2 linked regions of the Macaca fascicularis genome follow. The protein of the gene in region 1 interacts with the protein of each later gene in a pairwise test. Links are inferred from orthologs where the notes say so. Each region holds a gene or a part of one and is shown on either strand. Other genes may lie near its edges.

Region 1 (5,632 bases):
TGCTGCCACCTGCTGGATTGATTTTCTGACGCCTTTAGTTTCCGTCAGCTGAAAGACTAAAGGACTGAAGGAGAGGAGGGACTCCATTCATTGAACAAGCACTCTCGGAGAATGCCTTTTTTTTTTTTTTGAGACGGAGTCTCGTTTGTCACCCAGGCTGGAGTACAGTGTCCCAATCTCAGCTCACTGCAAGCTCTGCCTCCTGGGTGCAAGCGATTCTCCTGCTTCAGCCTTCTGAGTAGCTGGGACTACAGGCACATGCACATGCCACCACACCTGGCTAAATTTTTGTATTTTTAGTAGAGATGGGGTTTCACCGTGTTAGCCAAGATGGTCTCAATCTCCTGACCTTGTGATCCGCCCATCTCGGCCTCCCAAAGTGCTGGGATTACAGGCGTGAGCCACCGCGCCTGGCCGAGAATGCCTTTTTGAGCGCCTGGCCAGGTGAACAGGACAGGCAGAAGCGCCCTCGCTGGGCTGGTGTTCTAGCCAAATATCCTGTGACAGACCCTGTGAGCTAGTACCAGCCAGCCACACTGTTGCTGGTTTTGCTAGCCAGTGTAAAAGGGTGTGATCTGGTGATGGAGAAGCTTTTGGGTTTCGAAGCCTGGGCCTCTTTTATTGTGCCAGTGTGTCCTTTCATTCAGAGACCTTTTCCCCGTGAGTGGATCTAAAATTCCTGAATGGAAAACATGACTTGGAACTATTCGCAGTTACGAGAGAATTGTTGAAAGTATTTCCAGCCCTCCTCACCTTCTTCCTGCATATAACATTTTAATTATTTTTTTATTCAAAGGAAGTTAAGTCACACTTCTTTGTCTTAAGTAAGGCTGTTTTATTTGTTAGGGTTCAGGGCACATGGACTGTTTTTTTCTTTTTTTTTGAGACAGAGTTTCACTCTTGTTACCCAGGCTGGAGTGCAGTGGCGCAATCTCAGCTCACTGCAACCTCCGCCTCCTGGGTTCAAGTGATTCTCCTGCCTTGGTGTCCCGAGTAGCCGGGATTACAGGCATGCACCACCACGCCCAGCTACTTTTGTATTTTTAGTAGAGATGGGGTTTCTCCATGTTGATCAGGCTGGTCTCGAAATCCCAACCTCAAGTGATCTGCCCGCCTTGGCCTCCAAAGTGTTGGGATTACAGGTGTGAGCCACCGTGCCCAGCCTGGACTCTTTATCTTACAAACATCTTCAGAATGAGAGTGACTGATGGCCTGTCCCTGTTTGGTTTCTTCATGTTGTCCTGGTGCCCATCAGTCATAGGGAGGGGTCTGTTCCAGGGACACGCAGTGAGGAAGCTTGTTACTCTGCAGTCCCTGAGGAGTGCTGCCGGGACAGTGGTTCTCTCAGGATATCGCTTATATGGGCAGATAGCCTTCGATTTGCCAGGTTAGAGCCTTTAGCCGGTCCATGTGCTCTCTGTCCCTCCCAGGTTTGGAAACGATGTGCAGCACTTCAAGGTGCTCCGAGACGGAGCCGGCAAGTACTTCCTCTGGGTGGTGAAGTTCAATTCTTTGAATGAGCTGGTGGATTATCACAGATCTACATCTGTCTCCAGAAACCAGCAGATATTCCTGCGGGACATAGAACAGGTGCCACAGGTAAGCCTCATCAGGGTGAGATGGGATCATTTTAGAAATTAAGAATAGCTCCTCAGTGTGCATTCCTGTGGGAAGGGGGAGGTGACCCTCAATCAACATGCAGGCGCCCTTCAGGGATTGCCACTGGGGCTTCTGTGCTCGTTACTGAACACGTTACCTTCCATTCACACTAAAAATTTCTTGTTTCTGGCCCAGCGTAGTAGCTCATGCCAGTAATCCCAGCACTTTGGGAGGCTGAGGCAGGCAGATCACTTGAGGTCAGGAGCTTGAGACCAGCCTGGCCAACATGGTGAAACCCTGTCTCTACTAAAAATACAGAAATTAGCCAGATGTGGTGGCGCCCACCTGCGCTTGGGAAGCTGAGATGGAAAAATCGCTTGAACCCAGGAGGTGGAGGTCACAGTGAGCTGAGATTGTACCACCGCACTCCAACCTGGGTGACAGAGGGAGACTCCATCTCAAAAAAAAAAAGAAAAAGAAAAAGAAAGATTTGTTGTTTTAAATATAGGATTTTTGCTTTTCCAGAGGCAGTGTGTAGCCAGCTTGCCAGTCTCTCTAGGGAGATGGTCTTTAACACACCCACCCAAAGATCCTGTCCCTGGAGGCAAATTATGAGGAAAACTATGCTTGTGAGGGAGTGAGGTCGGCACCGTTCCTGTCCCTCGAGCCCTGGTCATAAGTTACAGTTAGAGTCCCTTATGTTATGCGAGCTCCAGAATTTTAGGCTCTAATATCTTAAGGGTGTGGTAGAAGGGATTTGCAGATTCTGGGCCCACAGCCTAAACACAGACGGCTGTTTCTGAAGAACTTTCCCCTCCAAGCACTGCCTGCCCTCTACTTGATAATATGGCACAGTTGGCCACCCTCCTCTGGGAGACATACTCTAGCATTTTCTGAGCACTGGGAAAGATCACACTAAACCCGCTTGGCCTGTAAACTTAGAAGAGGTAAGAATAAATGGGGGGTTGGGAGATGGGAGGTGAGTTTAGAAAACATGGAGAATTTGGCACGCATTCGTTTCCCCCTGGAACCCGTCTGGCCTCGGAGGTGGCCGGCCACAGACCAGGAATGCAATATGGGTTTTTCCTGCTCCTGTTTTGCAGCAGCCGACATACGTCCAGGCCCTCTTTGACTTTGATCCTCAGGAGGATGGAGAGCTGGGCTTCCGCCGGGGAGATTTTATCCATGTCATGGATAACTCAGACCCCAACTGGTGGAAAGGAGCTTGCCACGGGCAGACCGGCATGTTTCCCCGCAATTACGTCACCCCCGTGAACCGGAACGTCTAAGAATCAAGAAGCAATTATTTAAAGAAAGTGAAAAATGTAAAACACATACAAAAGAATTAAACCCACAAGCTGCCACTAACAGCAGCCTGTGAGGGAGTGCAGAACACCTGGCCGGGTCACCCTGTGACCCTCTCACTTTGGTTGGAACTTTAGGGGGTGGGAGGGGGTGTTGGATTTAAAAATGCCAAAACTTACCTATAAATTAAGAAGAGTTTTTATTACAAATTTTCACTGCTGCTCCTCTTTCCCCTCCTTTGCCCTTTTTTTCATCCTTTTTTCTCTTCTGTCCATCAGTGCATGACGTTTAAGGCCACGTATAGTCCTAGCTGACGCCAATAATAAAAGACAAGAAACCAAGTGGGCTGGTATTCTCTCTATGCAAAATGTCTGTTTTAGTTGGAATGACTGAAAGAAGAACCACTCTTTCTGTGTTCTTCGTATATACACACAAAAAGGAGCGGGCAGGGCAGCTCGACACCTTTGCTGTTTAACTTCCTCCAGAGGAGGGGGCTTGTAGGAATCTGCCTTCCAGCCCAGACCCCCAGTGTATTTTGTCCAAGTTGGCAGTAGAGTGGGGTAGAAGGAAAGCATGTCGCTGCCTCCATGGCTTCCCTAGAAAGCCTGCCTGGGCCGGGCAGCGTGGTGGCTCACGCCTGTAATCCCAGCACTTTGGGAGGCCAAGGTGGGTGGATCACAAAGTCAGGAGTTCGAGACCAACCTAGCCAACATGGCAAAACCCTGTCTGTACTAAAAATACAAAAATTAGCTGGGTGTGGTGGCATGCGCCTGTAATCCCAGCTACTCGGGAGCCTGAGGCAGGAGAATCACTTGAACCTGGGAGGTGGAGGTTGCAGTGAGCCGAGACCATGCCATTGTACTCCAGCCTGGGTGACAGAGCGAGGCTCCATCTCAAAAAAAAAAAAAAAAAGCCCTCCCAACAGCCTGTCTCTTTCCACTTTGTTGGCCCTTCCAGTGGGATTATCGAGCATGTTGTTTTTTCATAGTGCCTTTTTCCTTATTTCGAGGGTTGCTTCTGAGTGGTGGTGTTTTTTGTTTTTGTTTTTGTTTTTAATTTGTTTTGTTTTAAAATAAGTTAAAGACAGTCCAGAGCTTTTCAGCCAATTTGTCTCCTACTCTGTGTAAATATTTTTCCCTTGGGGCAGGGTAGAGCAAGGGAGACAAGCAGGAGTACAAGGTGAAGCATTCTCCTGCTTGTACTAAGCCAGGAGGCTTTAAGCTCCAGCTTTAAGGTGTGTGAGCCCCTTGGGGGTTCAGGGAACTGCTTGTCCAGGTTGCAGTGTGAGTGTGACGGGCCACCGGGGCAAGAGGGAAGGTGACCACCCAGCTCTCCCACATCCCACTGGATCTGGCTTACAGGGGGTTGGAAGCCTGTCCTCACTGTCTCAGGGGTTGTGGCCCCCACCCCATCACTATATGCACCCCTGGAACCAGCAAGCCCCAGACAAGGAGAGCGAAGGAGGAAGTCATGGGAACGCAGCCTCCAGTTGTAGCAGGTTTCACCTTATTCCTATGCTGGAGTGCACAATGAGAGTACTCACTTCTCACCTGTCTTGCTCTTAGATTGGGCTGTGGCTTTCATCCTGTGTCCTCTGACCTGTCCAGATGAGCGTGAGGGCAGCATTGGGAAGCCAGAGTGCTGCTTGTGCCTCCCTTGCCAGTGGGCTGTGTTGACTGCTGCTCCCCACCCCTACAGATGGTCCCAGGAAGCAGGGAGAGTTGGGGAAGGCAAGATTGGAAAGAAAGACCAAGGCCTCGGCAGAGATCTCTGTCTTCTCTCCACTTCTGGTCCCCTGTAGTGATGTGCCTGTAATCTTTTTCTCCACCCACTCCCCTTTCCACGACAAAAACAAGGCTGCCTCCCTCTCTCCAGAGAGTTGGTGACAGTTGGTCCTCTCGGTCCCAAAGCGGCTGATGGGAGTCTCCCTCCGACTCTGAATATGAACAGGGCCTGGGCCTGGAGCATTCGCTGTGCCAGGAGGCGGCAGCCCTTCTGGGCAGAGCCTGTCCCTGCCTTCCCTCACTCCTCATTCTGCTTCTCCTTTCCTCGCTGATGATAAAAGGAATCTGGCATTCTGCACCTGGACCATTTGATTGTTTTATTTTGGAATTGGTGTATATCATGAAGCCTTGCTGAACTAAGTTTTGTGTGTATATATTTAAAAAAAAAAATCAGTGTTTAAAGAAAGACCTATGTACTTAATCCTTTAACTCTGCGGATAGCATTTGGTAGGTAGTGATTAACTGTGAATAATAAACATACAATGAATTCTTCACTTGGTATCTTTTTTTCCCCTTGTCTGCCTTAAAAATTTAAAAACCGCCTTGGGGAGTCAGGAATCTTGGGTCCTTATTTCAGACTCCCAGCTTACATCCCCCTAGGGGAGCATGTGGGGCTCACAGGCCCTCCTGGGAGCGATGCCCATAGTTAGCTGTCAGGAACTCCTGGGGAGCCTATTAATAGTACAGAATTGCAAACCGCCCCCCATCCTTGGACATTAACTTTGAGGACACAGACATGCCCCGCTGTTTCTGATGTAGAGAAACCACTGACCACGCTTTGGGGACTCTGGTCTAGACCAAGGACTTTGGGAGGATAAAGAGCTTGGCTTATTTCGTTCTCCTGTTCTCTGTGTTAAACAAGGAGAAGGACAGAAACACCTATGAAGAAATGATTCTGATGTGCTAAGTAAGTAAAACCTACTTGTTTGCTCAATAGGCTGCTT
Region 2 (5,632 bases), on another chromosome or scaffold:
CCCTGGCCAGGCTGGGATGGCAGAAAACCGACTTCTGGCCACTGTTGTGAGGAGCCTGCACCCCACTCTGTCTATAGTCACTAGCGCCCCTTCTCCCCATCCCCACAGCTGGAGGTGACCCCCTCTGGGCTGTGACGCTGGCTGCTCCTGCCATGACCTCCAGTGTCAAGGCAGGGGTTGGCCCCAGGCCAGGCAGGACAGAGACCCCAGAGCACTCTAGGTGGCAGGAGCAGCTTCCTGAAGGAGCCAGGGGCCCAGGGCGTCTTGTGTTTGTCCACACCCTCCTCATGCTCCACACTGAGAAGCCACCACGGCCACCAGGCCTCCGTCATTCAGTCTCACTCTGCCCCGTGGGCCCTGCCCCCAGGACCCCAGACTCACTTTTCCGCCATCTCGTAGAAGATCATCCGGTCAAAGTTGCTCGTGTGCTGCCATTCGTGCACAGCCCGCCACAGTCCCTCCTCCAGCGTCATGGTGGGCTTCCGCCGGGCCAGGGATCGGAGAACTGGGCTGTAAACCAGTGCAGTCAGCCCCAGTCTATAAGCCCACCCTTCATCCCGAGCCCACCTGGTCCCAACACCTGGCCCCTGTCCTCCCCATACCTGTCCTGCCATCTGTCCATGTCCTGTTCTCCCCCACGTGGGCTCCTCAGGCCCCAGGACACACCCCCAAGATCAAACATCAACACAAGCTACAGAGTGGCCTCTCCGACTGCCCCTCAAGTCCTCGGTGTTTGTCCACACCCTCCTCATGCTCCACACTGATGTTGAGAAGTGAGCTCAGTACTATGGGTGGAACATATGTGTCCCCAACATTCCCGTGCTGAAGCCCTGAGCGCCGGCGTGTCGGTATTTGGAGGCAATCATGGTTATAGCAGGTCATGAGCGTGGGTCCCAGTCATGGAATCCGAGCCCTGATAAGGGCAGGAGGAGATGCCAGGCCTTTTCCTCTCAGCCACAAGAGGACACAGCCGAGGCAGCTTTCTCCAGCCAGGAAAAGGGCCCTGACCAGACACCCAATCTGCTGTCACCTTGATCTGGGATTTCTGGCCTCTGGAACTGGGAAACGTGAATGTGTCTTGATAAAGCACCCAGTCTATGGGATTTGTTACAGCTGAGCCTGAGCTGACTGAGACAGCATGAGCCTGAGCTGACTGAGACAACGTGCACACAGAATGACCTGGGAGTGAGGGTTAAAGTGCAGGTTCCTGGGCCCCAGGACTGAGCATTTCACCAGCTTCCTGGGGACTCTGGAGTAAGGCAGCCCCTGGGGGTGTAGCCTCAGGGTCCTGGAGCATGAGAAGCAGGAGCACATGTCCAGAACCAAAGCAGAGCGGTGTCAAGCCCACTGCAAGCAGCCAGGTACAGCTTCCCACATTCCCACAGGAGCCATGGCAAAGGCCTGTGAGCCTGGGGCAGCTCCACTCCAAGAATCAGGGTCCCCAGTGCACCGGGACTCTGCTCCAAAGGGGAATGTGAGCAGTACCAGGGTGCGGGGCCAGCGAGATTGTTGGGGAGGAAGATGGGGCTGTGTTCTACCTACACCCCAGGCAGGGGACTTCCCAAGGGGAGCGGCCAGTGTGTTGCACGGTGGATGTGCTGCAAGCTCCCGTTTGCTCATCAGTGGGAAACACAGGGTCACAGAGGCGCCACAGGGTGGAGAGAGGCAGGGACTGGGAATGAAACCACAAACTCTCCCGGATGCTGACGTTGCTGCCTCACAGTCACCATAGTCCACAGCCCTGGGCTGCTGGGCTCGTGGTGTATTCAGAGCTATCACTGGAGCCTGTGGCTTTGGGGAGCACTCTCCTAGATGGCCTAGTCCTAATAATGATAGTAGTAGGGACAGTAATCATAATTGCTGTCATGTAATGTGTCATAGCATGTGCCAGGCACTATGCTATGCATGTCATATGTGAGCTCAAGTCATCTGTTCGCCATTCTCTGAACGAAGCATCATTGTCCTTTTTTCTAGGGAGGATTGAGGGTGAAGATGCAAATACCTGCCCAGCATCGACCCTAGTGCGGGGCCCAAGACCATCCCCGTGTGCAGACTCCACCACCGCGGTGTTCACTGGACCTCACTGGCAGAACTGCGGGCGTATGCCAGGTTCCCGCCGGGCCCTGCAACTCCTCCCCCCAGCCCCATGTGACGTGCCCCTGGCCATCGACACTCAATTTGAGGGAAGGCACTGGGGTGTACACTCAAAGACCTAACCCCAGGACGGGTGTGGTGGCTCACACTTGCAATCCCAGCACTTTGAGAGGCTGAGGCGGGTGGATCACGAGGTCAGGAGCTCAACACCAGCCTGGCCAACATAGTGAAACCCTGTCTCTACTAAAAAATACGAAAAATTAGCTGCGCATGGTGGAAGGCACTTGTAATCCCAGGTACTTGGGGGGCTGAAGGAGGAGAATCACTTGAACCCAGGAGGTGGAGGTTGTGGTGAGCCAAGATTGCACCATCGCACTCCAGCCCAGGTGACAGTGCGAGACTCCATCTCAAACAAACAAAAAGACCTAAACTCAAACCGTGGCGCACGTCGCACCAAGAACCCTCTCTGACCTGGGTCTTCCGTAAACATTGCTGTGAAAATTATTGAAAGTAAAAGCCGGGCGTGGTGGCTCATGCCTGTAATCCCAGCACTTTGGGAGGCCGAGGCGGGTGGATCACCAGGTTAGGAGATTGAGAGCATCCTGGCTAACACGGTGAAACCCCGTTTCTAGTAAAAATACGCAAAAATGAGCTGGCCGTGGTGGCACATGCCTGTAATCCCAACTATTCAGGAAGCTGAGGCAGCAGAATTGCTTGAACCCGGGAGGCGGAGGTTGTGGTTAGCCGAGGTCACGCCATTGCACTCCAGCCTGGGCTACAAGAGCGAAAGTCTGGCTCAAAAAAAAGTAAGGATTGGCTGGACTCACGGGATAGTGACGGGCAGTTGACATGAGGCCCTTGACAGTCTGTCCTGAGCCACAGCCAGATTAATGTTGCTGAAAATGTACCTTCCCATAGCACAACTGATCACCCTCACAATCGCCCTGCAAGCTCCCCTGAACAGCGTGACCTCCTGTCCATTCGGCAGCCTCTTTACGTGTGAGCTGCAGGACAAGCTCCAGTGCCCCGAGGACACTCACATGAGGAAGCAGGAAAGCGCTTCGGTGTCAGGACTCTGGGGAAGGTGCCTCCGGGCCAGGGGCTTGTAGCGCTGCCAGAGTCGGAAGTTCTCATAGACACTCTTGAGGTTACAGGAGTCATCCGGTGGGGCCTTGGCCTGGGAGGGAGGCAGGCTGCCCTCTCCATGAGCCCCTTCTGGCCATGGCCCAGTGTTCCCTGGGGGCACAATGGGAGGCATCTGGGCAGCCGGTGGTGGTGGTGGAATAGGAAGGCCCTGGGACCAGCCTCCCTCACAGGCCTGGGCGCTCCCAACCACTTGGGCAGATGTAATGGGCACCCCAGGAGCAGCTGCCAGGAGTAGGGGAGGTGGACACACGACACCTCCGCAGAGGGCGCCTGGAGCCTGCCAGACGAGGGGGTCCTGAGTTAGGACCAAGGTCTGTGCCTGAGGGGGCTTCACAGGCCCCACTTCTGTCCTCATCTGGACAAAGACATTGGAAGCCCCGGCCCCACTAGGGCCGCGGCCATCCTGTCCTGCCACCAGAAGTGTGCTGGGGAAGGCAGACAGCACCAGAGGGCCGCCTGGAGGAACCGCTGCCGTCACGAGGGGTGGCCCATGTGCTGGGCCAGGAGCGGGTGTGGCGAAGGGCAGAGCTGTGAACACAGACAGGGAGGCACCAGGGTTCACGGTCACGCCCGGTCCCAGCACTGGGTATGCTGTGGAGACAAAGGAAAGAGATGAATGAGCTGGGGTCTCCTGGTCCTCACTAGTCACTGGGGAATCAGAGGGGAGCCCCAACAGCTGAGGGCGTGTGACAGGGAAACTCTGCCGCTTGCAAGTGTCCCTGAGTGTGCATGAGATGCTCTGTTCCTCCACGAAAGGGTTGCTCCACTAGAGAGCCGGGCCCCGGTCACCAAGACTCCCTGACCCCTGTCTCCCAAGAAGGAACAGCCAAGCCTTCGCTGCCCGAGGGTCTCCCTCAGTGTCCCTGGCAGACCCCATCAGCATCACAGGCATCTCCCAAGCCATGGGTCAGGGATGAGTCTCTCAGCGGCTTGGTGGTCCTCAGCGTGCTCAGCAATAGGAGACAGGCCTACCCCAGGGCAGTGCTCGGCACTGAGAAGGCCGGCAGGAAGCCCGAAGCTTCCGAATATTATGGCCCTATCTCCTCTTCAGTCTTCCTTTTCCTGAAGCTCCTGTAAACTCCTTTCCTAGCTCAACACCACAAAAGAAAACCACTGGATAGGCCGGGCATGCTGGTTCATGCCTGCAATCCCAGCACTATGGGAAGTCGAGGTGGGCGGATCACCTGAGGTCAGGAGTTCAAGACCAGCCTGGCCAACATGGTGAAACCCCGTCTCTACTAAAATACAAAAATTAGCTGATGGCGCATGCCTGTAATCCCAGCTACTCAGGAGGCTGAAGCAGGAGAATTGCTTGAACCCAGGAGGCAGAGGCTGCAGTGAGCCAAGATCACGCTACTTCATTCCAGTCTGGGTGACAAAGCGAGACTCTGTCTCAAAAAAAAAAAAAAGAAAAAAGAAAACCACCGGATGGAAATCTCACCCAAGCCAGTGCCCTAGGAACCCCAAAGATAAACCATAACACATCATGCCCAGCATGCAAATGATTGTCCTGGCACCACCCACACAAGTGCCAAATGGGGGTCAGATTCCGGCCACCCGTTCCTCAGTGCTCAGTGGTCCCAGCTGCCACTCAAGAAGCTCTGTTCCCAGGGAGCATGTCTGAGAGGCAGTGGTGGAGTCCCCTGAGATACTGTCACCGCACAGCCAGCAACAGCTGCACACGATTAGAACTCAGCCAGCAACTGGTGAGCAGCAGGGCTATCAGGGGAGGTGCCCAGGGATTTTCACAGCTGCTGGTTATGTTACAATAGGTAGTGGGACAAGGAAGCATCTCTGATCCTTCTCCTTTGAGCTCCCAATAACTGAACATAGTGACCAACCAAGAACCAGGGGTTCCTGGCCCACGGGCCAGGTGAGGCAAAGTTGTCTGAAACTCATCCCTGCCCACTAGGACCCCATGCAGTCTCTAGTCAGGGGGAATAAGGGATACAGCACATGCACCTCATCATTCAGGACACATATCCTAACTTGAATAATAATAAGAGAACCATCTTCCTATTTGTGCGCTACTTTCCTTTCTCTACTGAAAAGGAAACCAGCCTTTCCAGACCCTTCCACTGAGAACCAGCAAGAATCCACACCTGCCCCCTGTTCATGAGGTAGTATACGTGGAATGGGGCAAATTCTTCATCTCCACAGTAACACAAAGTGCAGGGGACGGGCCATGAGCTAGCAGACAAGAGGAAGTGGGTCTGAAGACCTGAGCTTCTACAAAAGGGCAAACAATGCAGAACAACTCAGGAAGCCCAGGCCATGTGTTACCTGAACTTCCCCATCTGCCCCCACCCCTGTTGCATCAAAGCCAACAGCTACCTGAACTGATGGAGCAGCCAGCTCTGGGGAGGAGCTGAGAGGCTCTGGGCTGTGGCAG

What was found. The genes of interacting proteins can lie anywhere in the genome.
Region 2: the proteins of GRB2 (region 1) and NUTM2F interact in a two-hybrid assay, tested with the Homo sapiens proteins (2 studies listed by BioGRID). The two-hybrid records come from large-scale screens. The link is inferred for Macaca fascicularis from reciprocal best matches to the Homo sapiens genes GRB2 and NUTM2F.

Annotation. Positions count from the first base shown.
Region 1 is NC_088390.1:81,721,263-81,726,894, reverse strand, and holds the end of GRB2 (growth factor receptor-bound protein 2), read left to right. Parts: intron 1-1,430; coding exon 1,431-1,599; intron 1,600-2,702; coding exon 2,703-2,888; 3' UTR 2,889-5,182; downstream 5,183-5,632. UniProt on the Homo sapiens protein: Non-enzymatic adapter protein that plays a pivotal role in precisely regulated signaling cascades from cell surface receptors to cellular responses, including signaling transduction and gene expression.
Region 2 is NC_088389.1:124,458,636-124,464,267, forward strand, and holds part of NUTM2F (NUT family member 2F), read right to left. Parts: intron 5,470-5,632; coding exon 5,312-5,469; intron 3,832-5,311; coding exon 3,135-3,831; intron 511-3,134; coding exon 382-510; intron 1-381.